5 linked regions of the Neurospora crassa OR74A genome follow. The protein of the gene in region 2 interacts with the protein of the main gene of each other region in a pairwise test. Links are inferred from orthologs where the notes say so. Each region holds a gene or a part of one and is shown on either strand. Other genes may lie near its edges.

Region 1 (5,785 bases), on a different chromosome or scaffold from region 2:
CCTGGGCAATGGTTTCCATGTTTGTCCAACTATCCAAATGATTGCGTAAGAACGGCCAAAGGTGTTTGTATGGAAGCCACTTTTGAGGGTAGAGCGTCTCCAACATGGTCCTGACCGACAAGAACGGGGTCTCGAGGAGCAAGCCTCGGACTGACAAATTCTGTGGAATCTTGCCTGTCGCAGCAAGGTTGGTGGCCACACCGCAACCGATGCTTTGTCCCCAGAGCAGAAGAATGGGTAGAGGAGCATCCCTGTCTGGTCCGTACAGTTGTTTATGGTATTCGGAAATCCAGCGTGCACCGGCTTCAGCATCTCGCCTGAGACCAGCTTCCGAGGGCCGGCCCCGGGATGTCCAATAACCTCTGTAACTTAGGCAAACAAAAGTCATCTGTAGAGGTGCCAGGTCCGGGTTGTGGCTGTTACTGACGTTTCGAAGCACCCATGACAGATCCGGCAATCGTGGCGGTATCGAAGCGGCGTTTCCTAGGTGCCCATATCAGCTGCGAGTCCCGGAACGACACGTTGATATGAGGAACCAAACCTTGAAAGTAGAGAACATATACATGGGCCCTCGCATCCTTCTTATCTGTAGGGAACTTTCCCTTTTGCATCGGGACGGTTGTAACGGCCATTGCCAGGTCTGTCCCGTCCGCCGCTTGAATCCTTTCATTCGTCCACTTAATTCCACCGCAGTGGTTAGCGTAGTTGTCGATGAGCTCCCATCGTGAGTTGGGAGGGAATCCAGGCATATATATGATCTTGTTCTGGAACACAACTAGCATCATGCACTTCCACACGTATAAAGCAACCAGAAGCCCCACGAACACGACTGGCGGCATCAGCACCGCCGGGATGTGAATGCATTTCGCAGTGCGGCCGCTGCCACTAACGACGGAAAATGTGCTCGGCTTGAATGTCAGGGGAACGATCAGAGACCTCGCGGCAGTGACCCCATATCGTGAACCTCTGATGTAGGTACTACCGTGACGACAGCTCGAAAGTGAAGAGATTGCACGAAGTTGTTCCAACCGGGCCCTTGAGGCGGACACGAGACAGCGAGAAACCATTGGGGGAAACTTATGAGACAATGGCACTTGTCTCACCCGAGCAAACTGCAGGATTTTCCGCAGCTCGTTTCCATTGCATAATCTCGTGTTCAGCTGCCACTTGTTGATTACTCTTCAGTCTCCTGCAAGGTGTTCTGCACATACACCTCCACAACTTCCTTTCGAATCGGAGATTGCTGGCCAGGTTGGGTGGCGCACTCGAGTCGACAGGAGTTCCAGTGGAACAAGTTCCAGACAATCCGAGGTTGGCGCTCTGTGATTCACCCAAAATGCCTCGATAATGTACTGTATGAACCGGTGAGGCAGCAAAGAATGTAATTTGTTCGAAAGAGCGGTTCCAGGCCTTCCGAGGCTTTTTGAAGCCTTCACTCTTCGAGATGATCGGGCTCAGTATTGGAGAATCTCTTTTGAAGATTGACCGATATGATCCATAGACATGAAATCGAAGCGGCAATGACAGTGAGCGCCGTCGATATCGAGGATGGTAAACGTCGGTTGAGGTCGGTCGGGTCTTGATCGATGGTGATGCGGGTGTTGGTAGACGGCCTCGGGATGCCCTGATGCCCTTTCCGTTAAGAGTCTAACAGGACCCCTGTACGACCAACCCTTTCCAGTCTGCCCCCCAACAAGGCAGGCCCTGGCGTTGCACGGTGCACCCACTGATGTGATCCCCGCATTTGTCCGCCTCAGGGGACCAACCAAGGGGACTAGCGCATGACGGGACATCCCAGCGGGTGGTTGGAATTGGTCCATGACCATGACGATATTCCAACTGAAGACTGGAGAACCAACCTAAGCGACCCCTCATTTTCTGTAGATGCGACTTCCATTCGTTTGATAATCAGGAAGTGATAAAAAAAAAAAGTCGGGAGATTCTCCTTCTCATCACATAAATGATAAGTCACTGTATTTGTCCAATAAATACTACCAACCACTGATTACCAGCGCGCCACCGCTTCCGACTGCGCCATTAACTGATCAACACTGCCTTGAGTATTGCGATAGTATCGATCCCTGTGCTCGTCGGTACTCTTTTTTCTTTTTCTTTTTCCTGTTTCTTTTTTTTTTTTTTACCTTTGGACGCTTTTCAGCACGACCACGACCATTCCGCGACTTTGCGCAACGCTCGAGAGCAGGCACCAACTACCTACCCGCCCAAATACTACCACAACCATGCCGGCTCCCATTGAAGAAGGCAGCAACACACCGGGTCGCCAGTCGCCCGGCCACCATATTGAGCTGGTCGACGACCATCCTTCACCACGACACGAGGGCGAAGCAGGAAGCCCCGCTCTCAGAGATAGCAAAGGCTGGGACGGGAAGCTGCGGGTACCAAAGAGTGCTGTGCTCACAAATCCCGAAGCCTTGTCGGATCCGGAATACTCGGACGATGACAACGTTGTTCCTGGCGAGGAGGTTGCAGCGGATGAAGGCAAGCAATTCGAGTGCGCTCAAACACGGACACTAGGCCTTTTACATGTCTAAACGATAGTGAAAATGACTCGGTGGTAACGAACCTCTGGCTAACCATGTCCGGCTCGTTTGGTTTACAGATCTCCTCGACAACGAGCCCCTCGATACCGATGAGATCATTTGCACCCACTCCCGCATTCAGTCCATCTCAGCATTGCGTCTTGAGCGCTTCAAACAAGTTGCCCGCATTTGCCTTCGCCAAAACCTGATCCAAGATATCGAAGGCCTCGCCGCTGTCGCCGAGACCCTCCAAGATCTTGATCTTTATGACAACCTGATTTCGCACATCGGCCGCGGGCTGACTGACCTCACGAATCTGACCAGTCTGGATCTAAGCTTCAACAAGATAAAGCACATCAAGCACATCAATCACCTGACCAACCTGACAGATCTCTTCTTTGTTTCCAACAAAATCAGCCGCATCGAAGGGTTAGAAGGACTCGACAAGCTGCGCAACCTCGAGCTTGGGTCGAATCGCATTCGCGAATTGCAGAACCTCGACTCGCTCAAGAACCTCGAAGAGCTATGGGTGGCCAAGAACAAGATCACCGAACTCACCGGCCTTGGCGGCCTTCCTAAGCTGCGTCTGCTCAGCATCCAGTCCAATCGGATTCGCGACCTGTCCCCCTTGCGCGAGGTACCCCAGCTTGAGGAACTGTACATTTCGCACAACGCGCTCGAATCGCTCGAAGGGTTGGAGAACAACACCAAGCTGCGGGTGTTGGACATTTCCAACAACAAGATCGCCAGCCTGAAGGGCATCGGTCCCCTCGAGGAGTTGGAGGAGTTGTGGGCGAGCTATAACATGGTCGGCGACTTCGCCGAGGTGGAGCGAGAACTGAAGGACAAGAAGAACCTGACGACGGTGTATTTTGAGGGGAACCCGTTACAGCTCAGAGCGCCGGCATTGTATAGGAACAAGGTCCGGTTGGCGCTGCCGCAGGTGCAGCAGATTGATGCTAGTAAGTTTCAACAGGCATTACTTATGGAAACTCCAGAAGATTTGCTAATTCCCAAATCACGCAGCTTTCGTCCGCGTATGATGTATATGAATGGCGATTTTGGCGGTTTGCAAAGCATAATGATTGTGTAGTCAAAGTTCATGCAGCATGGCACTGGCGTTCATGGTACTACGGCGTTAGATGGGTTGTTGAAGCAAGACAATCGACAACTTGATGTATTCCCAGTAGACTTCGTTACTACTCTCGTCTAGACCCGTTGCCCTTTGCTTTGCATTCTCACCCTCATAATTGCATCCATACTATTTTCATCCGACTTCACCGACAAAAGGACCAACGAACAACTTAGTCCAAACCACCGGGCCATCCAAGAAAGGACGGTCGCGTGCGCCTTTGTGTCGAGGTTGATACATGGAGTGGCTAGTGGCTAGTATTGACTGCTTTTGTACGATGATGATCAGATTCATATAGACGACTTCGACAATCACCACAAACAATACAGAGTCAGCTCATGTCACGAGCAGGGATCGACGAAAAAGAATTTCGAAACAGAAAGATTTGTCAAATCTTGATTTCTATCGCATTCTACCCCATCTATTTCATAGCTGACAGGTTATCAAGCAAACAGGAAATGGCCTAGAGCCGGGAGAGTTGATCTGCCAACAGCCCTTCCCCGGGCCTCAGCAGATAACGACAGTATGCCCCATTATATGTACACATCCCGTCGTTAGGGTACGGTGACCAGCCTTCTCTCTTCGCGGTGTCTCTGATGGTCGGGGTATGGTTATGTTGATGTTTCCATGAGCGTGTGGTGTGCATTGTGTGTGCGGGCCGTGAGAGGTCGTAGCGATCTAGGCGACCATACCAATCACGCGCCCGCGTATACAAAATGCGTTGTGGGTATAATACACATTCAAGGGGTAAAATCAAAAGGTTTTGGAATGGGGGGCGCGAAAGCCAACTTTTCCCCTAAGCTGCGGAAAAAGGTTGACCTAACCGAAAATCCAGAGGTTCTCAGCGGAGAAGTACTGTGAGTTTGCCATGTTAGTCTATACCTTTTATACCATGACATATATATATATATATTCTGACGCCAAGTTTGGGGTGCCGATGAGAGAATGGCAAAAGGAAGTATCAAACTTACGTTGGTGGGCTGGTTGAAGCGGATGCCGCGGTCGAAACCAGAGATGGTCTTGATGTCCTCCTCGGAGAGATCGAAATCAAGAGAGTTGAGGTTGGACTTCATGGTGGCCTCGCGGCTAGACTTGGGGATGATGGCCAGGCCGCGCTGGGTGGCCCAACGGAGGAGGACCTGGGCAGGATCCTTGTTGTACTTGTCACCAATAGCCTTGATGGTGGGGTCCTCGAGGAGAGGCTGGAGCTTCTGGGCGTGCTCCATGTTGAACTCGCGGAAAGAAGCAGGGCCGAAGGAGGAGTAGGCGGTCACGGCGATGCCCTCAGCCTTGGCAAGGTTGAGGAGGTTCTGCTGGACGAGGTAGGGGTGGTGCTCGATCTGGAGAGTGGCGGGGCGGACCTTGGCGTAGCGCAGGAGGTCGTACAGGAGCTGGGCCTGGAAGTTGGAGACGCCAATGCTCTTGGAGAGACCCTTCTCGACGAGCGACTCCATGGCCGTCCAGGTCTCTTGGATGGTGGCCTTTGAGGGGCGGATCTCGCTCTTGCCATCAAAGTGCCAGCCGGGAGGGTAGCGGACCGAGGGGTCGACGTACTCGAGGGCGACGGGGAAGTGGATCAGGTAGAGATCGAAGTACTCGAGACCCCAGTCGGCAAGCTGCTTGCGGACGATGGGCTCGACGCGGTCGCCGTCGTGGAAGGTGTTCCAGAGCTTGGAGACGATGAAGAGCTCCTCGCGCTTGACGATGCCCTCCTTGATGGCGCGGGCTACACCCTGGCCGCACTCAACCTCGTTGCCGTAGTCTGTAACCAACACATTTCGAGTCAGTCAACAAGAACCATGCCATCGTGCCTACTGTGTCTTTGATGGCGGTACTATGGCTTTGGGGTGAATTCGACGGATAATGTCTCATCCTCCTGCAAGCAGGGTGAGCTGAAGTGACGGGGGTCGATGTGGGGTAGTGGTGTAAATAAGTGTCCATGCCTGCGATGGTATCGCTGCTCCTCGTGTCCTTAAAATAAGAATGGACACCACGAGAGATTGCCATGCGAGGGGAGACGTTGTGTTGACAATAGGTATCATGTAATGTACAGTTGGAAGTAGGAAGTCTTAAACATACCGCAGGCACCATCGAAGAGGCGGTAGCCTGCCTT
Region 2 (5,870 bases):
TTGACCGGTAATTAGGTACTAGAGGGGAAAGGTGTTGACGGGGTGACAAAGCAAAAGAAAATCGAGCTTGGGTGACCCCCATTGATTCGGGCTCGATGGCAAGGCACATAGTCGATCCTCGCTGTAGCAGCAGAACAGCATTGGACACTTGAGGAGCTGCTGCAGTTCGAGCCTCGTGTCTCTTGGATTCCAGAAGCGGACGAGGGGTGCTGTGTTTGACGATATGTACAAGGTCGTCAAATTGGAATTGTCTGGTGGGGCAGACTATGCACTTTGGATGATGAGCTGCGGTTGGAAGACTTCGGGAAGCCAGCCGTTGAAAGGCGTTCGGTTTTTAAAAGACTCGGGGCTGAACGAATGCCCAGACATAGCAAGGATCGTGAGGATCGTTGTTCTGAAGGGAGACCTGTCCGAGCAAATCAGGAGCCGTCCCATCTGACGAAACGGAGTTGTGACCCGGAAAGTCGAGGAGAACGGCAATGAGGTGAAAGTGACAAGGGAGACCTCGACACATTGCTGAAACATTTATTCTGAGGTCCCGCGGGTCCAGGTCTTAGTTCAGGCGCCGTTGGCCCCGAGATAGGTGTAAACCGAAAGTTACCAAAGATATGGGTTCAGACATAGTGGGCGCCTAGTTGTTGGTTTCGTGTGTGTGATATATTGCTATGTCTCGTCATGGCGATAGCCCAAAGCGACCAACCACCACTTCAAGGGATAAAAGGTCGGAGTTTCCATACTCTGATGTTGTTGTGATGGTCGAGTCTCTTCTCATCATATCGCAGACAAGTCCAAGATCTTAGCCGACTTGGACCTATCAGAATTTCTTTCTCCTTGGTGGTGTGGCGATGGTGGTTCAAAGAAAGTCAGTCATGTTGACACTACTCTGTCTGCATGGACAAGGTACCGGATTCTAGCAACCCGGTAATTTTGCCAAAGGGCTTCCTTTTTTGACGGAAACTGGCATTCTTGAGTTACCAGAATCTCAGGTTTTGATATGCAGCTAAGCATCACCTATGACCGCAGAGGACTACCTGGATCTCCAAGATGCCCAAGATTCTCGACAGCCTGACTGAGGCTTTGCGCATTTGCTGTCGAGCTCCCAGTCTCACTGATCTTGCGGATACACGTCGGCGGCTGAGTCGCTCGAATATTTTGCTCGTTGTTGACTGGATATCCGTTGCCTGTCGACCTGTCTTTATACTCCTTCGCTTCGAGCTGTTGTAATCATGCATACCGGGTGCTTGTGCCTGATCTAGGTGTAGGCCATGTAGCCAGGCTGCCCTGCCTATCATTGCGTTTGCGGAACCTGATGCTGATGGTGGGGGGAAACGAGCAAAGAGGACAAAGCCGGAATACCAATGCAAAGTAACAACAAGGCGACCAAGAAGGCATTCCCGTCTTTGCTATTGCCGTGTACATACCAGGTAAGGTGTCACACTCACAGTCCACTATCTCTACACAGGGAGGGGGAAGTTGGAGGGTTGGGAGAGATGGAAGTTCCAGGCGACACCCACCAACGGGATCGCAAGCGGCTTTTAGGCGAGCCAATCCCAGGCCTAGACCTGCCAAGGAGGGTCCGGTGTTCGGGACTCTTGCTAACAGAAGTGCTCGCAGTTGCGGGGGAAGGCAGCGCAGCTCCTACCCAGTCGCGTTAGTGAGCAACATGGACCGACCTATCATCATACCTGCTTCCCCAGAGGCGAGTGCATGCAATTTTTCTCGAGCCAAGTTGGAAGGGCCGCTTCACTGCAACTGGAAAGGGCACAAGGGCTCGGCCAGGATCTGACGGAGATTCAGAGCGGGCGCGAAACCTAGGTAGGTACCTACCTACCTGGCTGGCAACCTAGGTACCAACTACCTAACCTAGCTCACCCAATCTGAGCCTGTCCTTGTTTGGGTTATTTCAGCCGTAGGTAGGTATGTTTGAGTTTAAGTTGAGGGTTGTTCTGGCCTGCCATCGCGTCGGATGTTTCGAGTTTTTTTCGTTCCATGTCACTGAGTGCTGTCCTGTTCATTCCATCGATGTGGATGAGAGCCCAGTCGGCGGAAAAGATCACAACTGCACCGAAACCCGACCCGACCGGACGCCTGTTGTGGTTGTTGTAACGATAACCTGACTGGCAGGCACCGAGGTGACCTGACCTGGGCTTGAAAGAACGCGGACCTGGACCTGGACCTGCCTGCCTACCTCTACCTACTGCTCTCCACTGCTAGTAGGTAGTCTGGAAGCCCTGTGCGTTTCATTAGCTGCGTTGCGTGCGTGTAAATCTTGCTGCTCCATCGGCCCAGTAGCCCAATCCCTTCTCTGCGTCCCCGTCCAGTCCAGTCGCCAGTCTTCTCTACCTACCTACCTCTACCTAGCCCATCGCCCGGCCGGACCCCCCCCCCCCAGCAGCGGGCAGCCCAAGTGGAAGCGTCTGCGCTTGTCCGTCTCCTCCCAAAAGTCTCTAAGCAACCACCACCGACGTTGATTTTTTTCTCCCGACGCTTTCTATCCCAACCAAAACAGGGCGACGTCTTTAACCACAAAGAACGCGCATTTTCAACCCCACCCTGGCGATAGAAGTCCTATTATCATAGGCATCATCTCGCGGTATCTCGTCTTCTGGCCTCCGTCGCTCAATTAGACGCAGCTTTTTCCAGCGACCCTCCGACCGGCCCAGCGCTCTGTACTGCACCTCGCTGCAGCACTTTGCACTCTCCCGGGCAGTCCATCGACCAGTTTTTCCCGACCGTGGTTTTGGCAGTGGCAGTGACAGCCTCTCCCGCAGTCTCAGGACTACTTGAACTCCCCTTCTACACCCGACCTTTTCGAACCCAGATTTTCGACGACGACACGGCGTTTTGCCCCAGCCCCGTCCGCGCGACAAAAAAAAAAAAACACGTTACCTCACAAAGGACGATCAGAGACTTCTGGAGCCGTCTCCTTTTTCCATCATTGCTAACCCTCTTGTCGCCGCGTACTACCGGACCGATTTCTTCGCAATTCCGACGAGATTTGCTTGCGCTTGCTCTAGACCGTTCGCACCTCCGCCAAACCCAGTGACGATTTACTAAAACCAAAGCACAACATTCGGTATCCGAAAGAATACCTATTTCCAGAAAAAAAAAACACCAAAAAAATCACCGCTTGCTGTATTCCCAAGGAGAACGCGTTCGCCTCTCCAAAAAAAAAAAAACCCCCAACAATCGCTTCTTGCTGGGATCGCTTCTGAGCGTAAGTTGATCAACTGCCGTTACATTGCGGCTTCCCAGTCTCTGCCCAGCCGTCGCTCCTCCTTCATTTTCCCGCCATCGCGATCGCGTGCGGCAAACCCCAATCAGAATCTGCGTCGTCATTGGCAATGTCTAACGTCTTGAATTAGTCGTTTAGCTTTGCAGAAGTGCATCTACCCCAGTTTCCTACTCCTTACGCGTGCCGCTCTTTTAGACCCGTCCCATCCGACTAGCTGGGGTTTGTCGGTCGTTACCGTGACTTCGAAAACCTGTGCGCGGTATCTCTCCGGTTGGTGAGGATTTTGCAATGGCGGACCATACCGAAGTCGACCTCGACTCTATAATCGACCGCCTCTTGGAGGTGCGGGGCAGCCGGCCTGGTAAGCAGGTGCAGCTGCTGGAAGCCGAGATTCGCTATCTCTGCACCAAGGCCCGTGAAATCTTCATTTCCCAGCCCATCCTGCTTGAGCTCGAGGCTCCTATCAAGGTAAGCATTGTGTTCTTTCTATTATCCCTTTACATAGCCTCGGCATGCGCCATACTGCCCCTTCGGCAGTGTTCATAGCTGACGTCGTGCCCCACCTCCCTAGATTTGCGGCGATATCCACGGTCAATACTATGATCTCCTCCGCCTCTTCGAGTACGGTGGCTTCCCTCCTGAGGCCAACTACCTCTTCCTAGGTGACTACGTCGATCGTGGCAAGCAGTCCCTGGAGACCATCTGCCTGCTCCTCGCCTACAAGATCAAGTACCCCGAGAACTTCTTCATCCTTCGTGGCAACCACGAGTGCGCGTCCATCAACCGTATCTATGGTTTCTACGACGAGTGCAAGCGGAGGTACAACATCAAGCTTTGGAAGACCTTCACCGACTGCTTCAACTGCCTACCGATCGCTGCCATTATCGACGAGAAGATTTTCACTATGCACGGTGGTTTGAGCCCGGATCTGAACTCAATGGAGCAGATCCGCCGAGTCATGCGACCAACTGACGTACGTTACACCATTCATGCCCGGGCTTTCCGTTTGCTCAGGCTAGTTGCCGTAACATGAGACACTAACAATAGCGCCAGATTCCTGACTGCGGTCTTCTTTGCGATCTCCTGTGGTCGGATCCCGATAAGGACATTACTGGTTGGAGCGAAAACGATCGTGGTGTTTCCTTCACATTCGGCCCGGATGTCGTTTCTCGCTTCCTCCAAAAACACGACATGGATTTGATCTGCCGTGCTCACCAGGTTGTTGAGGACGGATATGAGTTCTTCTCGAAGCGCCAGCTCGTTACTTTGTTTAGTGCCCCCAACTACTGCGGCGAGTTCGACAACGCTGGTGCTATGATGAGCGTCGACGAAAGTTTGCTCTGCTCTTTCCAGGTATGTTTTTCTGACTTTGGCAAGCTCCGAGACCCTTGCACTCTTGCTAACCCCCTTTGCAGATTCTCAAGCCCGCAGAGAAGAAACAGAAGTACGTTCCCAGTCTCAGATGAAGCAATTCAAGACCCCCAAGAAGCACAAGTAAAGAATTTTCTTACGAACACACCCGTTTTCCTTTAGGTTCGGCCGCCGATAAACGTCTGATACTTTCGCCCGCCCGCAACGAACATGAGTATCTTACCGTCAGCTTGTCTACCGCCGCCATGTTTCCTGATCGCCAGGGCTCCCAGCCATCATCCCGTCTGCCGTCTGTTCCGACCACTTCTTTTGGGGAGGTCCTCGCCCCTCCTGCCGTGCCAACGAAACGAAAGCCACGTCTGCCCGTCCTGTCTCTCCATCCGTCCGGTCTCCACACAACTCGAGAGGGTAGGAAGGAAAGGGAATCTTTTTATATCTCGGGGGATGAATAACGAACGACCTTTTCTTTTTCTTGTCTGGTCACTACTCCTGCTAGGAAAGGTATAGATAAGCAGTGTGTGTCTTGGGGGGAAACTAGTTGTTTTGTGTCGCTTTTCGCCAAAGGCATATGTCATTCCGTCATGGGAGAGTGTATTGAAAATTTGTTCGTTTACATCCGCTCCAGCACTTTCTGACTACGGCATGCTGTGTTTCGCCACTCCGCTATTTTACATTTACGGCTCAGTTTCGAAAGGTATACACGTTGCAGCAGCATCACAACATATCTCCGCTTTAATTTACCAGCTTTTCGGCCTGGTCAAACGACACTTCCGCCTTACCTTCCTACGACTCTCACGACCTAGGCTCTTGTAGTTACCAAAATGGCCAGGGCACCATCGCAGAGGTAAAGCTACGAACATTGCAAACGGATGAGACGGAGCGCCTTGGTGATACCAGAGAAGAAGCAGATGGGATGAAAGGCGGTGGTTTTCTGCGCTCAGGCCCGATTCTGCCACGCTGGATGGATAGAAAAGCAGGAGAGAGGCGTTGGGCAGGACAGGACAAAGAGAAGAAGTACGATATGGCGTCCTAGGTTATGAACATGAAGATGGCAGAACGTCTTGGCAGGCTCGAGTTTTTCTTGTTCTTGGGGGAAAGGGAGGGGGACGGTTGCTACTGGGTGATTATGAGGCGAACACCATGCTGTATTCGAGAAAGAGGAGGCAAGCGTGCCGGCGGTAGGGAGTGCGCGGGGCATTGACCGATGGGTTGATCAATCAGGCTCATCGTGAAAACGTGAACTGGCGGTGGCATACGGTGACTG
Region 3 (5,510 bases), about 1.2 Mb from region 2:
GTTTCAGTTGTCCCAGAGTGCCAGAAGAGGGTCAAGGGGGAAGAGAGCCAAGAGGAGGGGAGTAAAAAAAAAAAAAAAAAAAAAAAAAAAAACATACCAGGAGGATGCATCACTACGCAAACCACAAATCCACTCGCCGTGCTACTCGCCAAATGCAGCGCCGGCCCCTCCTCCATGCCCAAGTGTTTTACCAACCGCCTCTTCGCAAAGAAGTACGTGGGGAGCTGCACCGAAGATCCAAAGCCCGTCCTGATCATGGCCGCCCCAACACCTCTGTACAACCCCTTCACACCCTCCCCCTTGTAGATTTTCGTCAACCCGTCCCAGGCGTTCTTGTACTGATGCTGCGTGCCGACCGGCAAAAAGGGGCTGTAGCTCTGCAACCTCGTCTTGGCCAAAAAGAAGGGCGACCCCGCCATGGCGCCCATGATGCCACTCGCCGCGCCGGCAAACATGTTGATGCCCAGGTTTTGCGTCTTTGCGTCGTTAAAGAGCGTGGTCGCAAGCGCGTGTCGCATCGGCTCGTAGAACCCCAGGCGGCATCCGTTCAGGAGGATCTGGTAAATGTACGCGCACCCGATACCGCGGTAGATGCCGCCCAGTCCTTCGTTGCGCACGATCACGGAGACACCGTGGATCGGACCCCGGTAGAAGTGAGGGGAGGAGGTAGAGGATTGGAGCTCGCCTTGGAGCTGCATGCGGATCTTGACGGTCTCGAAGGGGTGCGTGGCGGTTACGGCGCCGCAGGCTGCGATGCCGCCGGCTATAAAGGCGCTGTGAGGGAGGGAGGGATGTTAGTCTGGGCTTGGGACCGGGAGGGGGGGGTTTGGGTTGGGTTGGGTTGCGCGCGCGCACTGGGCGCATTGTGAGGAGGGGAAAGGGAGAGCTTACCCTGCTGTTGTTGACATAGTGACGTTAGGGTATCTGTTTTGGGAGAATGTATGGGGAAGAAGGGTGAGGGAGGGGAAAATATCAGGGAGAACTCAAGTCGAGTCCCCAGAGTCTTTGGGTTGATTGCGACGGAGTTGGCGCGCAAAGTCAAAGAAAGGCGCAATGCCGAGTCTTGCCGGTGTTCGGAGAGAGAGAGGGGGGAACACGGGAACTAATTCGGGAGTAGGCCGGGGAAGGCGGGAGTGGATGTCACCGTATCACGGAGAGTAACGACGGCAATGAGGGGATGATCTGGGGAAAGATCAGATCGGTGTATGTACAGGTGTACAACTGAACGAAGTCACAACGAACGACGACGACTGCTTCTTTCTCCAGGAACAGGAAGGAAAGAGAAGACCACCGAGAGCTGTCCGGGAAATTTATTGGAGCTTCAAGGTGGCCTCGCCGGTCAGTCGCCGGGCAGACAAGGGGGTCGAAGTGATCGACTGGGACCAACTCCCGCTTTGGGTCAGGCACGGAAGTTGGTGTCAAGATCCTCCTCCGATGCCGTGGATGGGGGTGGTGCCCAATGGCGACGAGGCGAAGGAGTTGTAAGTGCTGCGGTTTCGGCGCGCGGACAACAGATTAATGTGGAGTTTCTGCGGTATGACAAGGGGGCGTGGCGGGTCGGGCGGCCCAGACGTGGACCCTGAATCAGAACCGGAAATGTCTGGGCCGGGGAACGCTGTCGTTGCTGCGAGGGAGGGTTAGGGCCTAGGCGCGATGGACGGCAACAAGTGTCCGAATCGGAGCTTGATGACAATTTCGAAAAAGACGAAGGTACCGAAAGCTTGGAAGACAGTCATACTGGGACCTCAATTGAGCATCCTACCGTAGTGTGTAACGATTGCCATTTTAGCTTCGTGAACATACACTAGCACCGTTGTCAATTGACTGCTCGGTTTGCGGCCAAATCACCAACGTATCCCAGCGTTGATGGAGTTTGTCCAGCTGTCACTGACATCGATACCTACTTACCCAACTGGTGTCGTTGTCCATGCAGTGACCATGGATCGAAACAAGGGTTAGGGTCTTGGGCCACTGCCAAGCCATTGTATGTACCTTGACGTCGCATTACTGAAGCTCTGTCTCTCCGCCCGGCAGAAACACCAACGCGGTTGACGGATGCTACTAAGTTTTGAACCAAACATCAAATAACTACCATCAATCCGATACTATACAATTTGACCCAATATATTTGCCCCGCCATCTTCTCTGGTTCTAGCCGGTTTCAATACGATCAATCGACCGCAATGTCATCGACACCGATGGACATCGACGAACCCGGCGCGGGAACACCCTCCCTGAACGTTACTCGGTTACTTGGGCCTAATGGGCCCAGTACCTCCAAGATCAGTGAGGTGATCAAGAATTTTAGGCCGACAAAGTTCTTCCAGAGAGACGACGTGAAGGAGGGTAGGCCCCAGCCATACGTTCTATCGATCGACTTTGACGACCCTGGCGAGCTTTGCATGACGTCTGAAAGCGACGAGACCATCCAGATATATAACGTTAGGGAAGGTCGGCATGACAAGAGCTTGCTGAGCAAAAAGTACGGCGTCAAGCATGCGAAGTTTACACATTCCAGCTCGGGCATCATCTATGCGAGCACGAAGCAAAACGGTATGTCACTGGACGCCCTTTCTCCCTTCAATGACTGCTCTTCGCTGACCTGGATCGCCACAGACGCAATCCGCTATCTGGCAACCCACGACAATACGTTTATCCGATATTTCGAAGGCCACGAGGCCTCCGTTACCAACATTGCTCTCCATCCCGGCTCCGATAACTTTCTTTCATGCAGTCTTGACACCACAGTCAGGCTCTGGGACCTCAACAGCAGGAACTGGGTTGCCAAATTCCATCTCACCAATCCCACTTTAGCGGCCTGGGACCCTGCTGGTCTCGTTTTTGCCATCGCCCTACCAGCCAGCGCCAGCATTCTCCTTTACGATTACCGCAACTACGTGAAACCGTTCAAGATCATCGACGTTTTGAAAGAGAAGGGGCCAGCTGATGCGGATGCCGTCTTCAGAGGCTGGACGAAACTCGAGTTCTCCAACGACGGGAAGCATATTCTTCTAGGAACACGGACCGGAGGACACTTCCTCTTTGACGCCATTGACGGGAACCTGAAGGCGTACTTGCGAAAGCCCCAAGGCGGCACCAGACGGCCAGCCCCTGGCGAGGCTGATGGTGGAAGCGGTGCGCTAGAGAGCAGTGGAGACTGTTGCTTTACGCCAGATGGACGATATGTCGTGTCGGGCGCGGCCAAGGACCTGTTGGTTTGGGACACATTGCAAACTCCCAATAACAAGGTTCTGGAACCGAATTTCCTTCCCCAGGAAGGAAAGAAGGAACCAGTCCTTGTGCAGTACAACCCAAGATTCAACATGATTGCCACTGCGGATAAGGAGCTTATGTTTTGGCTGCCGGTCTCCGATTTATAAACGGAGTCTATCGGAAACTGTTGGACCTCACCTCCATGGTCAACCCCACGGAATATGTGGGACCGGGCTTTGCCGGTTCAGCGCAAACGTCCGCTTGAGAAATATGAATTGGCGACGTTTATCTGGGCCGAAGTCGATGATCAAGAGTTCTAAAATAACTTTTCATTATTTCTGGACACCGATCGCTTCGTGGTTGTGGGGGCGTTGTCCCCATTGTGGCGCCGGGATACTTGGAGAGTTCCCCAAAAGCCGCACGCACGAGGAAGGGGGTTGTGGCTCAAACTGCACAGGACCCATGCCGCGATGTACGAAGGTCTTGGATGGTATCCTGTTGCTACATCAGGGCAGAGCAGAAGAGCGTCGTGGTAAGAGAACATGAGAGACGCCGGGAACAAAAGAAGATTTTGATGCACTGTACATGAGATACCCATTTTGCATTATTCGCCGGCGTATGGGAGTAGTTAGCATGCTTCAAAGGGTTCAGGTCGCGAGGCAAGTGGTCTGGAAGGCTGATTTAACCAGGCTCGTAGGAGGAGATGGAAAGGAATGGTCAAGATGAACAGCATGTAATGGTTGATCAAGTTGATTTTCACTGAGGGGATGATAGGCATTAGCAAATAGAGGAAGCTCAATATTGTTTACTGTCCATAAAGAATCTGACCATCAGGTAGTCTTGATGAAGGTTGAGTTCAATACCACCCTGAATCCCATATGTCAGGCCTTGGACGACGGGAGCTTAAAGTAAACACATCCCCTGTTGCCCCCTGTCATTAGAGGTATGCCCCGCATTTGAGCTGGATGGGACCGCGGTGAACCCCACCAATGCAACACCCGTTTCAGCGTGCAAGCAGAGAGCTCACCGAAACCGTGGCACCAAAACTTCCCGGGGAAGCGACAAGGTGAACCCACATCATCCTTACCTCCAACATATCACGTCGCCTTGACGCCTTCGCATTTATCCCAAGTCACCAACCGCCGCTGCGCGCCACATTCCCAAACCGCCAGCCGACACCAATTATCACAAAATAACCATTCGGGTACCGAATATCCTAATCAGTGCACGAAGAGTACAAACGAAGCGATCACTACTTCGACGGAACAATCCAGTCGCACGGCACGCGACCACTGTCCCATCACACGTCGTCGTCTAGAGCACAATTCGGCGATAATAAGATGCCATACTACGAAAAGTCAGAGGACTGGCTTCACCAGTCTGCTTTGCTGTTGCAGGCTAGGCCTCAGACTGTATGTGTTTCCTCCCTTCATTCTCTCCGCCCTCCAATCATTACAGCGTAGTAGCTATGAGCTATCTATCTAAACTTCTCGCCCATGCTAACATGCAAATCCAACAATCAGACCCGAGTAACAACCTCGTACTCCCTCCGCCCCGCCATCCGCCCTTCTAAAGCCGAGAAGCTCGCGGCAAAGGAAGCTCGTCGCGCCAAAGAGAAAAAAGAAACCAGCAGCAGCAGCAGCAGCAGCAAAAAGACAACAGAAGGAGAAGAACCCCCCAAGGATGCGGCGGCAGCGGCGGCGGCGGCAAAACCACCCCGAGGCCATCTGGTCCTCAAGACCTTTGACCCGCACTCGGGCGTATGCCTGAAATACAAGACGTCCAAAGCCGCCGAGGTGGGTCGGTTGATTCAGATGCTGGGACAATTGGGGAGGAGGATGGCTGCGCTGCCTGTGGACGAGGCCAAGGAGTCGGCAGACGTGGTGATGGCTGATGCGGCTGCTGCTGCTGCTGCTGCGGCGGAGGAGGGTGCTGCGGCGGCGGCGGTTAGTGGGACTGCTACGCCTGTTGCGGGTGCGAGTACGCCTGCGCCTGCGGCAGGAGGCGGTGGACAGGGAAAGAAGAAGAAGAAGGGGAAGAGGTGAATTTTGAGAGGGCGCTGTGTATAAGTGAGAAGGGGACGAACGCGCGGATCGGGGGGCTGAGCAGGAAAAATGCCATGATAATAAAGGGTGGGTAGAACCAAGTGAATGAAGCAAGCGTTTAACATTTTTTTGTGGAAACATTTGTGTCAAGTGAAGTCTACCTTGGTTGCGCATCGGCGAACGGGTCACGTCAGGCGTCATGGTCACTACAAGTTCACGCCGATACGAATTCGCTGATGTCTATAATTCAAT
Region 4 (5,522 bases), on a different chromosome or scaffold from region 2:
GCGTCATCGACCAGACCGGCTGAGTCGTAAACATGGGAAAAGTGCTTCTGCATAACATCGGTGGTTCTGGTAATGAGTGAAGTTAAGTCGTTCTTTTCCTGGGGTGACAATAGAGTGCTGAAGTCAGCCTCCCGCTTCGGGGGATTATGTCTTGGTCTGCCGCCGGGAGGCATATCGGCGATGGTACTGTCGTCAGAAGCTGTGTGGGAGAGGGTCGGTGAAGTTGGCGATGCTGCTTCGGCAGCGTCCTTGGGAGAAGGCAAGCTGGGAGGAATTGGGTTACAAGTCTTGAGGCCCAGGGCCTTTGAAGAGCGCACCGTGACCGCTGGCGCGGGAGCGTTCTTGAGTGCCGCCATGATCAATTAGGAAGGCGACAAGGCGCAATGATTGATTGCTCTTTCTGTTGTTGATTCTGGCACCTCAGTCCCCGCCCTACCTTGGGGTGGATAGGTCACAGTAGAGGTGATTGCCCTGACCAATTGGTACAGCGCAGTAAACCGGAGTGTACTAGTTGCGGTGGTGTGGCGAAGAGACGGACCGTATGAGTGTATTGTCTCCGTCAGAAGGGAATGGAGACTGCAGTGCGCAACCAGAATTGCAACTGGAAGGTGTGGGCAATGGGTGATTGCCAGCTGAGGGTGGAGTGAGTCCAGTCGCCTTGTGGTCTGGCAGATCTTTGTGACAGGTGACTTCCCAGCCTGTTGAGTTCGCTCTCAGATTATGCTTCCCCGCTAGGAAAGATAGAGGGAAAGAGCGATGGTCATTCTGTCTCGAATTGTTTGCTGTCTTGGGGGGGGGGGGGGGGGGGCAGGCAGTTGTACTGCGGTACCACGATGATGTTCGCTTAGGCTAACCTTGACGTTACAGGAGCCAGCCAGACTGTCACGAGGCCACGAAAGAGTGTCGTTCCTGCGGGTTTTTAGGCTGGATGACCAGGCACGGGTATGTCGAATATTATGATCAGAGAATGCGGTCGCGCCAGGCGGTGTGGAGGGGAAACAGACAGAGGAAGGAAGAAAGGCCGAGAGGTCGGGCGTTGTTGTAGATAAAGTAAGATGGATTCTATGGGAAAGGGTCCTGGTCCCAAGCCGGGGGCGGGGATGCAAGGTGGGTGGGTGCAGAAGGGACCTGGGATATACAGAGATTCGTTGGTCGGGAAGGCCGCTGGGGATCGTAAAGGTCCATGGACGGAAAGAAAGAGCAGGAAAGGGCAGAGAAAGGCAGTCCACGCAGTGAAGGGCAGCTCAGTTAAGGGCAGGCAAAAGCAGGATCCCGGTGGAAGCTGGGAGTGTTCTACGCGTGGGCCGACTGCCGGAAGCTTTGCCAACAGCAAAAGGACGGCAATGAGGACCAGTGGTGTTTGGCAAGCATCGAAACTCCCGTTGTGTGACGCGGGAGAGGCGGGGTGTTTGGTGGTGGTCTAGTTCTGAGGCAGCACAACGTCCAAAGAGGTTCACAACCTAAGCTCAAGGATCACGGACATAAGATCATTCCATTGTGCTGCCATACCAGCTGCTGAACACGAACATCCAAGTGGCATTCAAGGTGAGAAGGGTTCGCAAGCTTGACTATAGGCTGCAGTGGGCTGGACCGGCACCGCTCTCTATTGTTGAGTTGCTATGGCACGCAAGCCTAGCCGCGTGAATGAGAAAACGCACCGCGGAGCTGAGGACTAACTGAGCAAGCCTTGATGGATATAAAAAGGACACTAAAGAATATGTGCTACCCTTTGGTACGGCCTCAGTCGTCAGTCAACATCCAAACCTCCCATCCTCAGCCTTTGACATGTAAGTGGAAGCGGACGCAATTGCCCGAAGACCAACGAAAAACTTCAAAGGCCCATCACGCACATGTAGTTAAAGCATATGCCATGGACATATGGACACCCAACAAACTATTTTGTTTGTTTGCAGCGGTCCCTTCCCGATCATACAATGAGGCTCAAATCAGGGGTGTTGTTGGAACTTTGGTTCAGGGTTGAAGCAACTTGAATGATCTGCCTTCAGGGTTGTGAGGGAGAACAGTGCGGACGCTTGCGCTCGACCTATCAGGGGACCCTTGTCAATTCGACTTCCTTCCCGCAGGCGATCTTCGCCCCACCTTTTGATTGGGTGCCCTGCATTGACTCTTGGGCTTTTATTTTGGCAGAGGAATGTGGAAGGTGGAATGACGAAGGGAAGCGGGGACGTGGGGGAAACGGGAAGAGTACTGCGTACATAGCGCCAAAACCGAAAACCTTCAGCGGCTGCGATTCTTCCGTCATCAAAGGTTGCTCTAACGGCCATCGACCCACACTACACCGAGGCGTGTTAAGTAACGTGTCCCACACTGAATGCACCACACCTACCTCTAGGTATACTACGTACTACACCCAACACACCTTCAAGTTCGTTCGTCTTCGGCCTACGGTATTCAAGTCTAGAAGGTACTGCAACCTGCCGACCAATACCCATTGCGCGACGGGTCAAGGGAGACAGACAGGCCGAGAGCTAGCTTTCAGATCGAGATAACAGAACAGCCTGGAACCCCGCGACAAGAGTCGCATGAAAATTCCAGTTCCTGCCAGGCACGCTCCTCGTCAGCAGCGGCGATCACACAAACTTCCCCAGACTCCGTCAGACCGCAATTTTTGTCGCATGACCGGACGGCCTTCAAACGACGATCACCTAACTCTTTTCTCGAACAGACCACACCACCCTTGAAACCGCGCCTTTGTAGAGAAGAAAAGAAAAAAAAAGAAGAAGAAGAAAAGAAGCGCTCCCAAAACCTCATCTTCTCCCGGACCCGACTACCTCTACGACTACCTACCGCATACATACAACCACCCGTTCAAACACATACGTCCCAAAAACACAACAGCAAACTTTGATACAATCACACAATGACCTCCGTCGCCCAACGGCAAGCGCAGCCTGCGCAACCGTCCACCAGCCAAACCGCTGCCCCAACCCGAACCCAAACCGAGACCTCTTCTCCGGCCATCTTGCGACTTCGCGGCGCACACTCGAACGGGCGATCTGTACAATGGCGTAGCGATGTCGTTGACAACGAAGGTCTCGGCAGGAAGAAGTCCAAAGGTTAGTTGATTTGGGTTCTCCATCTGCCCCCCCACTCTTCAATTACCTTGCGCGCATACATACACACTCTGACAAATACATATGCTAACACCACCGGCGTGCCATGAACAAAACAGTCTGCTGCATCTACCACCGACCAAAAGGCGTAGACGAGTCCAGTGACGATTCTTCTTCTTCCTCCGACTCTTCATCCTCCTCCGATTCCGACTCGGACCCAGAACCTGACCAAGATAAACGAATCACATCCGGCGGTGGTAGTAGTGGCAGGGGCCACCGGCATTCCCATGATCATGACCATGATGGCCGGGAGGGTGGTTGTAACCACGACCATGGACGTGGGAGGAAACACGGCAATAAAGGAAAGAAGACGGAAAGGAGGCCGAGCCCAAATGCGTATGAGAAAATGCCCAAGTATAAGCCGAAGGATGGAGGGGCTGGGCCTTCGAATTCAGAGACGCAAGGTCCTGGGGGAAGTAAATGATGCAGGGAACAACACGAACGTATGTTCGAAAGTCGAATTTCTTTTTGGGGGCAATTGTTAGATACCATGGGAAGAAAAAATATGAGCACGAAGGCTGGGTTTGTCTTGGTTTTGGCTTTCTGAAGCCATAATGAGCACGTGTATGGGCTGCTTCTCGTTAGATATCATTCTTCGCTAAGTGTCCTTGTTATTGGACTTCACGAGTCAAATAACGATCGATATACACATGTATCTCACTATAGCGGCCTCAGATATTCGAGACATCCAGCAACGCAGAATTGTGCTACTGCATTCTAACAGATTTGCCTATAGACACCATAAGTGACTCTATCTTATGTAACGGCTATACAGAGCTTCCCAATGTTTAAGATCGTACAAGAAATCTAACCCATCCATGTAAAGACAACCCTTCCAGACCTTTTTAGCTCACAGCGCCAGACGCCACTCAACGTTATCCCACTAGTGCAACAGCCAAGTCTGAGTCTGCTCCTTCTCACCCTCGGCAGCCCAAGTAACCCTCAAGTTCAATCCGCGCTCGTGATTCTCGGCGGTGATATACTCAATCTCGCCTGCAATCTTCTTGCCAGGAGCCGGCTTCGTCTCCTTGACCTTGTTCTTGTCCAACAGCATCAGGCCCTGTCGCCAATGGGTAGGCTCACCAAACGGTCCGGTAGTAAACGCCACCCGGGCGTCCTTATCGCCGCCCTTGCCGGCCGTCTCAGCCACCCACTCCTGCGCCTTGGTGTCCAGCTTGATGGACTCGTCGACGCGGTTGCGCGCAAAGAAAACGTCCCACCAGACGAGGAAGCCGTCGTGGCTCTCGGCCTTGTCGTCGAAGGCGCTCTGCCACTTAGCCGTGAACACGAGGTCCTCGACCTTGACGGTGTGGAAATCCAACAACCCGAACGAGGCCGGGGTGCCGCACACGGTCTCGGCGGGACGAACCTCCATCCGGCAATCCTCGTAGATGCCCTTCTGCATCACCTTCATGTCGAAGCCGTACACGTCGCGCCAGAAGTCAACGTACTCGGCAATGTACTCCTGTTCCGACACGGGCGCGATCCACATGTTGCCGTGGCTGGGGACGAGCAGACCTTGGGGAGCCAGGTACTTGTCGCGCGCCCACAAAACGCTGTTGAGCATGGCCTCGTACAGCAAGCAGTAGCCCATCCACTCGGACACAATGATGTCGACCTTCTCGACGGGGAGGATCACCTCCTCGATGCGGCCCTTGAGGGTAACAATCACGTCCGAAAGCCCGTTGGCGTAAATGTTCTCGCGCGCCTTGTCGATGATTTCCGAGCGGTCGACGGCGATAACCTGCTTCGCACCCGCCTTGGCGCAGAACATGGACAGGATACCCGTGCCGCAGCCAATGTCGAGGACGACCTTGCCGGCGAAGAGGTCCTTGTTCTGGTAGATGAAGTCGCGGTAGGCTTCGGTGCGGACCGTGTCCTTGAGCATGGTCTCGTGGATGTCGTTGTGCGCGTATGACTCGAAGTAGTAGTCGGAAGCACCCTCCTTGGCGGCAGGACCCTCGGGGGCCGGACCTGAAGGCGCAGCAGCAGCAGCAGCGGCGGCGGCCTTGCCCTTGGCAGCATCCTTGTCGTCGTCATCAGCCTGCCAGCGCTGATCGAGGGTCTGCTGGACGGCAAGGCGGTAATTGGAGAACTGCTTGGACAGCTGCTCGAGCTGAGCCTGGAGCTCGGCGTTCTTTTGGATCAACTCATCCACAGCAGGCGCATCCGCGCCCTTCTGGGTGCCGGCAGCAGAAGCCTCAGCGCCGGTACCGCTGGACTCAGGGAGATCATCCAGGCACAAAATCAAGGCGTCGTCATCAAGGACGGGCTTGAGATAGCGGTCATCCTCCAGATCGGCGGCAGTGATCTCAGCGGGAAGAGGGACGCCTTCGTGAACCTTGGAACGGACTAATATGTTGTCAGCAGGCTGCCTATTTAGCTTGT
Region 5 (6,075 bases), on a different chromosome or scaffold from region 2:
CCTGCACGTTCATCCAGCAGCTTCCTTTTTGCCACTTGGGGAGAGTTGCCCGCTACTTTAACGTGTATCTCCCTGTTTACATTCCACGCCCATTGTTCGCTCCTTTTCAAGCGATCGCTCTTACTCTATACGCACACAATCATTGTTCGTTTTCCTAGCTAGCAAGTGGAACACTACTCACAAAGCAACTTGCGTCGATCGCTGCGATGAGAATTCAAACCCGTTCAGCCGCCAAGAGGCTCAAAGTAAACACCGAGGAACACATCGTGGTTGCGAACCCCCTCCAGAATCCGATCCTTGTTCCAGATCATGTATCTGAGACTATTGTAGCTTCGGTTGAGGCTGAATCCTGGACGAGAGGGAAACGGAAGCGGGGACATGCCACGCCGGCGCATCCTCTCAAAGGTTCGCTCACTTCTTTGCTCTCGATTTCAGCCTGCTAATTAGTTGAGTACATAGGTGGTCGGGATGTCTTGCCTCCTAGCATGGGCGTTCTGCCAACCCCTGGTACAATTCCAGAGACACCAGATTCGCTGAGCAGTTCTTCCAATGCGCCGGTGCATTTAACGCGAAGTGTGGCCAAACGCCAGAGTCAAACTTCGCTCGAAACTACAAAGATTCGGACCGAGGATGTGAAGGCGCAGAAGACGCCGATCAGTATAGGGCCCCTACAAGTGACTAGACCTGATGATATCTCGGTACATCATACCCGAGGTGTGACCGAACGCCGGACCAAGGTTCAGTCCGCCATCATCAAGGATCGGACGAAAGATGCAGCTGCGACAGAAGCTGTAGAGAACATCATGGGCACTTCTCTGGATAACACTATTGAGGTGAACACCCCCAACGACGACGACGACGACGACGACGACGACGACGACGACGACAAAGACGAGGAACACACTGAACGGGATCGACGGGGTACCAGGTCGTCTTCCAAGAGGCCAAATACAGAAACCGACAAAAACCTCGATAGCGGCAATGGACATATTATTGTCAAGACCAGCAAGAAGGCAGCCAAGGTCACCGCCACAAGAATAGCCACCGTGGACCGTGACAGCCCTGACTACAGAATGCCAGTGAGAAGGGGCCCAAATAATCCCATGGGGTTCACGCCAGGGTTCTCACCCTACCCCAATCGTCAGGCTCCTACCTCTGAAGCATGCGAGGATGTGTACCGCGTCTTGGCAACCATGCATGGCAAGGTAGAGCAACCCAAGGAAATACCCAAGGCATCTTTGGAGAAGGCCGGATGTGGCGAGGTACCTTGCGTATTGGACGCCCTCCTCCGGACGCTGATTAGCGGCAACACACTGATGGCCATGGCGGACCGAGCGATCAGGAACGTAGCTCAAGAGTACGGTTTACGAGAACACGGCTCAGGCATCGGAAGCATCAACTGGGAAAAGGTTGCCAGCGAGCCAGAGGAAAAGCTGGCCCAGGCTATCAAGGTTTCGGGGAACGGAAACCAGAAGGCCAAGCATATCAAGCTAATCCTCGACATGGTTGCGTTGGAGATGGCGCAGATGGCAATGGAGAACAAGGGAACGGGCGGTAAGCGAGAAGTCGCCTTCTCAGAGACGTTGAACCTAGACCACATGCACACCGTCACCAAAGACGAGGCCATGGCCAAGCTTGTCCAGTATCCCGGTATTGGCATCAAAAGTGCTGCCTGCGTTACACTCTTTTGTCTTCGCATGCCCTGCTTTGCAGTTGACACGCATGTCCACCGGTTCTGTCGCTGGCTCGGTTGGGTGCCGGAGAAAGCGAATGCTGAGGACTGCTTCAGACACTGCGACGTGAAAGTGCCGGATCACCTCAAGTATGGCTTGCACCAGCTGTTTATCCGCCATGGACAACAATGCTTCAAGTGCCGGAAGGCGACAAGGCCTGGTACGAAGGAGTGGAGGGAGGCACCCGAATGCCCGTTGGAACACCTGCTGGACCGGGGGAAGGGAGGAGACCATGGAGATGGATAGACAGGGAACGCCGGAAAGAGTCGATTTGGAAGTAGTTGGTTTCTTTCCAAAAGCAATAATTTCCAGTCTGACTCTTTGGCCCGCCATAACTTGAGACCCTCTTGATACTGTTGTGACGGATGAAAGCTCCCTAGGCCTTTTGACCTCAATGTTCGAAGATTGGTGATTCATGGAAGAGATGGGGAGTTGGGCGAATCCGTACCATGATATACAAGTATGTAGGAGCTCTCCATCTGGCTACTGGCAACAGCTGCTGAGCAGCTGCCTGTTTCTGACCATCGGACCTGCCTGCCGCGCCCCTCTGCCCCCCCTGCAACTTTTAGCGGCCCCACGCACTTTAGGTCTGACGCGGTTCCTTCTGGATTGACGCGCAACAACAGAACCTAGGTTTCGTTACAGCGTCCATTCCTCTTCCTTTCCCAGGCACTGTGGACGCTGGCTCTGGCATGTCAGAGGAAGCTCCCGTCTGACAGCCGCACCGTCAACTCCAACATACAACAGGAGAACCTTCACCGATTGCTTGGTGAAAGAAGAACGGAGTCAGACTCCTTCACTGGCCTGGAACATAAAACCCCACGAGCGCGGATTTCTCTTCTGTCCTATTGGTATACAATTTTCCTCCAACCCTTTGTCTGTGGGTGCAAGCGATACCCGCACATCCATCGCCATCTCGGCCTTTGCCCTCCGACAAAGCATCACTGCTCGTCCTCGGTTGCCTGGAGCATCTTGCTTCAACTATTCTTGTCATTCTTTTGCCGCACAAGTTGTTCCTCTAGCATATCTGTCGCTCACCTCGAAAGCTTCTTGTCGATGCAAAGGCTTCTCTAAACCATTCCGTCTGCTTTGCGCTGAAGGTTGCTTCTTGCGACCATCGAAGCGCAACCCACTTCGCCCTCCAAGCTCCGTCAGCCTAGACAACCACCAGAAGCCATCACGTTCTTGAATCGACCGCCGAGATGTCAGACAAAATGGAATACCCAGAGCTGGGGACCGCGGACGTTCAGATGGCTATGATGGAGATGCATCAAGCCTTTGAAGAGTTTCCTCCAGACGCACATCCAATTTGCCCTTTGCTCAGCGACGATGACGATACGGACTACGCGTTGCCAGACCTCCCCGATGCGAACGGAACAACGGTGGCAGAAAAGCAAAAGCGAATCGCTGACGGGTTCGAGAGACGTAGAATTACCTACGGCCTTTCGCTTCTGTTGGTGATGCCAGAGGCTGGTAAATGGATCAACGAGTGGAAAGAGCGTGTCAACTTCTTTCTCACAAAATGTGACCAATGTGCCAGGACATGGCATAGGACACGCCAGCAATTCATCAGAGCCATTGATCAGTGCGTATTCGCAAAAACCTACTTGGTCCACCGTAGGCCTGGTGACCCCAGCTAATCCGATTTACAGATACACTTCCCGAGACAACGCCGAGCTCTTGCGGAATCTACAGAAAAACCTCGAAGCCTTCGATGAAGAGCGCATCACGCGCGGCCTCAAGAGAGCCAAATTCATCCTTGAGAGGGACGGTCCCATGCCGACTACGAAGCTCGTTAGAATCGAACTTTGGCCGTGTCTCGCCTTGTTCGAATCGCTCTGCTGCATGGCATACTTGAACACCAACAAAGCAAACCTAGAGATATTCAATTACGTATTCGAACATGTCCAGCCTAAGAAGCCGCTGAAGATGGTGGGAGGCGCAATTCCGACCATGACATACTTCCTTTTCGAAGAGTATCCGGTGCACAGGGCGTTTGCAGAGGCACAATGGCAACGGATGCTGCCGGAAAGCCTCACCGATGAGGAGTGGGAATGGGCTGTCAGAAGCGGCCTCAAGTCCCATATACTCGGCCATAGGGGGATACAGCCCCCGGCGCGGCTGTGTCGCTTTTGGAGCGGATTCCTCCTCATTTTGCGAGCTATGAGCGAAAAGAGTATTTTGGAAAACCTCCGCGGTATGGAAGTACAACCGAATGTCTACTTCCTTGCTCTCGAAAACCTCGGCACCAATAACGTCCCTGCTTTGAGCATGATACTGAAAGCACTTCGTACGCTAATGGAGCGTTCGTCAAAGGCTTTCTGGGACGCCTATGACCAAGTCACTCCGAGTATGATTGTGGAGGAAATCTTCAAGAGCCCGGCTTTTCGGCCCTTTTTAAACCAGTCTCTTGAGCCGGACATGATGGTCGAGGACCAGGAAAACAACGGTCAACTAATACCAGCGTTGGCAGAATGGGTCAGGGCCTTTATCCGTTCCCTTCCCTCAGCGCGGCGGTCAGACGTTTGCGAGACTCTTCTTCGGCATCTGTTCGAAACTCTCCGGGTCGACGCAGGCGCAGCCCCAGAAGCGAAGGCCACTTGCATCCTTGCTGGTCTGGTGACCTTGAGAGAATGCTTGGACGGCTACCTCAGCCTTCCATCCTTTGATACAGGAACGTCTCTTATTATGGTCAACCAGTTACTCAACAGAGTGATTCAGTACAAGGAAGTCATCATTGACGCGACCAGGCTCAAGGCCGCGGACAAGTACAACGTTGGCCTCTCACAGGCTGCTATAGCTATCATACAGTCTGCCCTGGCATTGGACGCGAAGGCGACGTTGATGGAGTGGGACGCTTTCGTTAAGGAAAAGCCTGTTCAAGATGCCGTAAACAGGGACTCTGGCGCATTGTGGGAGTCATTCCTCGAGCTCGTCTGGAACGGACAAACAGATCTCGCCAAGGCCATGTTGAGAGCTACGATGCCTCTCAGGAGTATCGAACGGTTTATCCCTAAGCGGAAAGACCAGCTCAAGAACGAGCATGCAAAATTCAACAGACGCTTTCAACAGCAAACGGCGGCAATTGGCAAAATGTTAGGCCGCCTGTCTGACTTCAACCCGGCTGATCTTGACAGTTTCTGCTCGGATCCGCAGAGTAACACCATCCAGCCCATCGTGGCGACTCTAATACACGGTGAGGAAGCCATTCGCGAAGCTGGCTTCGAGTTGATCAAAGCCATCACAGGTGAGATGACGCCATCTGAGGCCGTGAATAAGATGCTTGAGGAGTACTTCAGCCAGTTCCTGGAGGCCTTCACTGGCGCCGTAAACCATATCACCAACGCCAAAGACTCCAATAATCCGTGGAGTCACATGCAACACTTGTTGAAATGCTGTGAATTCGTGCTCAATAGCTTAAGTGATCCGTCTGTAGGTCAACTCAGACGCAAGACCCTGACCCCTGCGGAACATGCTATCGTCAAGGGATGGTGGGATTGCGAATGGAGAGCCGTCGGCCACTCGTTCGGATCCATGAGACTCTGGCACGTGAAGGTGGACAAGAAAGTCATGGAGGACTTTTGTCGTGATGTGATGGAACTTGCAGAGAAGCTCCTCGCCCAAGACGGTCTCATGGCTTCGGCACTTAGCAGTCCTCAAAGCATCTCGGCGACAAACGGTGACGACGGCTCAGAGGGCATGAAGTTGGTCCTGGAGCCGCCGAGAATACACTCGCTTCCCTTAGTGGACATGTTGCAACTCCGCGATAAATATCTTATCGCCGGTATTATCGAAATCACCAAGAAGTTGATCAAGCGTCTGCAAGACAACGGCATGGATCTTCCGCCAAAAACAGTCGCCTATCTCAACAATATGCTGAAGAAGAGGAAGATGACTGATGGGCGAACGGACTACCCCATAAAGACGAATCTCACCAACGAGCAACGGATCGAGCTACTCAAGGCGCTCGGGGACGATGCTGCCATCGAAGCGCAGTTCGTTGGTGGAAAGCCTGTGAAGCAGGAGGTCAAGCCGGTTATGAAACAGGCAAAGCTTGATTTCTCAAAGGCATCACTCAAAGACCACATTGCCTCGCTTACGCCTGCCTTTGAGAAGGCCACTGAGAGGCGGAAGAATGCTCTGTTGGAGACGATGAAGGCTGAGGCTCCAGCCAAGGCTCCTCCCAAAATCGACTCAAAGGCTGCCGACAAGATCAAGGAGGCTAGGCGGCTTGAGCGAGAAGCCAAGGCCAAGCGAGATGCTGAGGCCATCGCGAGGGCAAAGGCCCTGCGTGCGCCACCGAAGCTGGTCCAGGGAGAAGGCTCAGGTCTGGCTGGTGTTG

Evidence for each region.
Region 1: the proteins of pph-3 (region 2) and NCU08385 interact in binary tests that used the Saccharomyces cerevisiae proteins (3 or more experiments, as listed by UniProt). The link is inferred for Neurospora crassa OR74A from reciprocal best matches to the Saccharomyces cerevisiae genes GLC7 and SDS22.
Region 3: the proteins of pph-3 (region 2) and NCU07885 interact in binary tests that used the Saccharomyces cerevisiae proteins (3 or more experiments, as listed by UniProt). The link is inferred for Neurospora crassa OR74A from reciprocal best matches to the Saccharomyces cerevisiae genes GLC7 and SWD2.
Region 4: the proteins of pph-3 (region 2) and NCU01670 interact in a two-hybrid assay, tested with the Saccharomyces cerevisiae proteins (2 studies listed by BioGRID). The link is inferred for Neurospora crassa OR74A from reciprocal best matches to the Saccharomyces cerevisiae genes GLC7 and YPI1.
Region 5: the proteins of pph-3 (region 2) and NCU02036 interact in binary tests that used the Saccharomyces cerevisiae proteins (3 or more experiments, as listed by UniProt). The link is inferred for Neurospora crassa OR74A from reciprocal best matches to the Saccharomyces cerevisiae genes GLC7 and SEN1.

Annotation. Positions count from the first base shown.
Region 1 is NC_026501.1:5,514,603-5,520,387, forward strand, and holds NCU08385 (protein phosphatase PP1 regulatory subunit sds22), read left to right. Parts: upstream 1-1,971; 5' UTR 1,972-2,240; coding exon 2,241-2,499; intron 2,500-2,620; coding exon 2,621-3,502; intron 3,503-3,566; coding exon 3,567-3,583; 3' UTR 3,584-4,046; downstream 4,047-5,785. Other genes in the region: NCU08386 (hypothetical protein), read right to left, coding at 1-360, 428-764, 826-864; xr (xylose reductase), read right to left, coding at 4,492-4,527, 4,644-5,434, 5,752-5,785. UniProt on the Saccharomyces cerevisiae protein: Regulator of the mitotic function of yeast type 1 protein phosphatase.
Region 2 is NC_026503.1:2,383,871-2,389,740, reverse strand, and holds the start of pph-3 (serine/threonine-protein phosphatase PP1), read left to right. Parts: upstream 1-2,254; 5' UTR 2,255-3,217; intron 3,218-3,365; 5' UTR 3,366-3,523; coding exon 3,524-3,703; intron 3,704-3,806; coding exon 3,807-4,208; intron 4,209-4,288; coding exon 4,289-4,588; intron 4,589-4,650; coding exon 4,651-4,679; intron 4,680-4,768; coding exon 4,769-4,784; 3' UTR 4,785-5,870.
Region 3 is NC_026503.1:1,231,785-1,237,294, forward strand, and holds NCU07885 (WD repeat containing protein 82), read left to right. Parts: upstream 1-2,056; 5' UTR 2,057-2,183; coding exon 2,184-2,553; intron 2,554-2,616; coding exon 2,617-3,380; 3' UTR 3,381-4,026; downstream 4,027-5,510. Other genes in the region: NCU07884 (mitochondrial oxaloacetate transporter), read right to left, coding at 98-774, 892-908; NCU07886 (hypothetical protein), read left to right, coding at 4,554-4,625, 4,737-5,258. UniProt on the Saccharomyces cerevisiae protein: The COMPASS (Set1C) complex specifically mono-, di- and trimethylates histone H3 to form H3K4me1/2/3, which subsequently plays a role in telomere length maintenance and transcription elongation regulation. Involved in mediating RNA polymerase II termination.
Region 4 is NC_026502.1:2,748,406-2,753,927, forward strand, and holds NCU01670 (type 1 phosphatase regulator ypi-1), read left to right. Parts: upstream 1-2,209; 5' UTR 2,210-2,881; coding exon 2,882-3,077; intron 3,078-3,193; coding exon 3,194-3,558; 3' UTR 3,559-3,944; downstream 3,945-5,522. Other genes in the region: NCU01672 (DUF726 domain-containing protein), read right to left, coding at 1-356; prm-3 (S-adenosylmethionine-dependent methyltransferase superfamily domain-containing protein), read right to left, coding at 4,018-5,486.
Region 5 is NC_026501.1:1,604,011-1,610,085, reverse strand, and holds the start of NCU02036 (tRNA-splicing endonuclease), read left to right. Parts: upstream 1-2,389; 5' UTR 2,390-2,935; coding exon 2,936-3,318; intron 3,319-3,385; coding exon 3,386-6,075. Other genes in the region: NCU02035 (helix-hairpin-helix domain-containing protein), read left to right, coding at 207-405, 460-1,979. UniProt on the Saccharomyces cerevisiae protein: ATP-dependent 5'->3' DNA/RNA helicase required for the expression and maturation of diverse classes of non-protein-coding RNAs like precursor tRNAs, rRNAs and small nuclear (snRNA) and nucleolar (snoRNA) RNAs.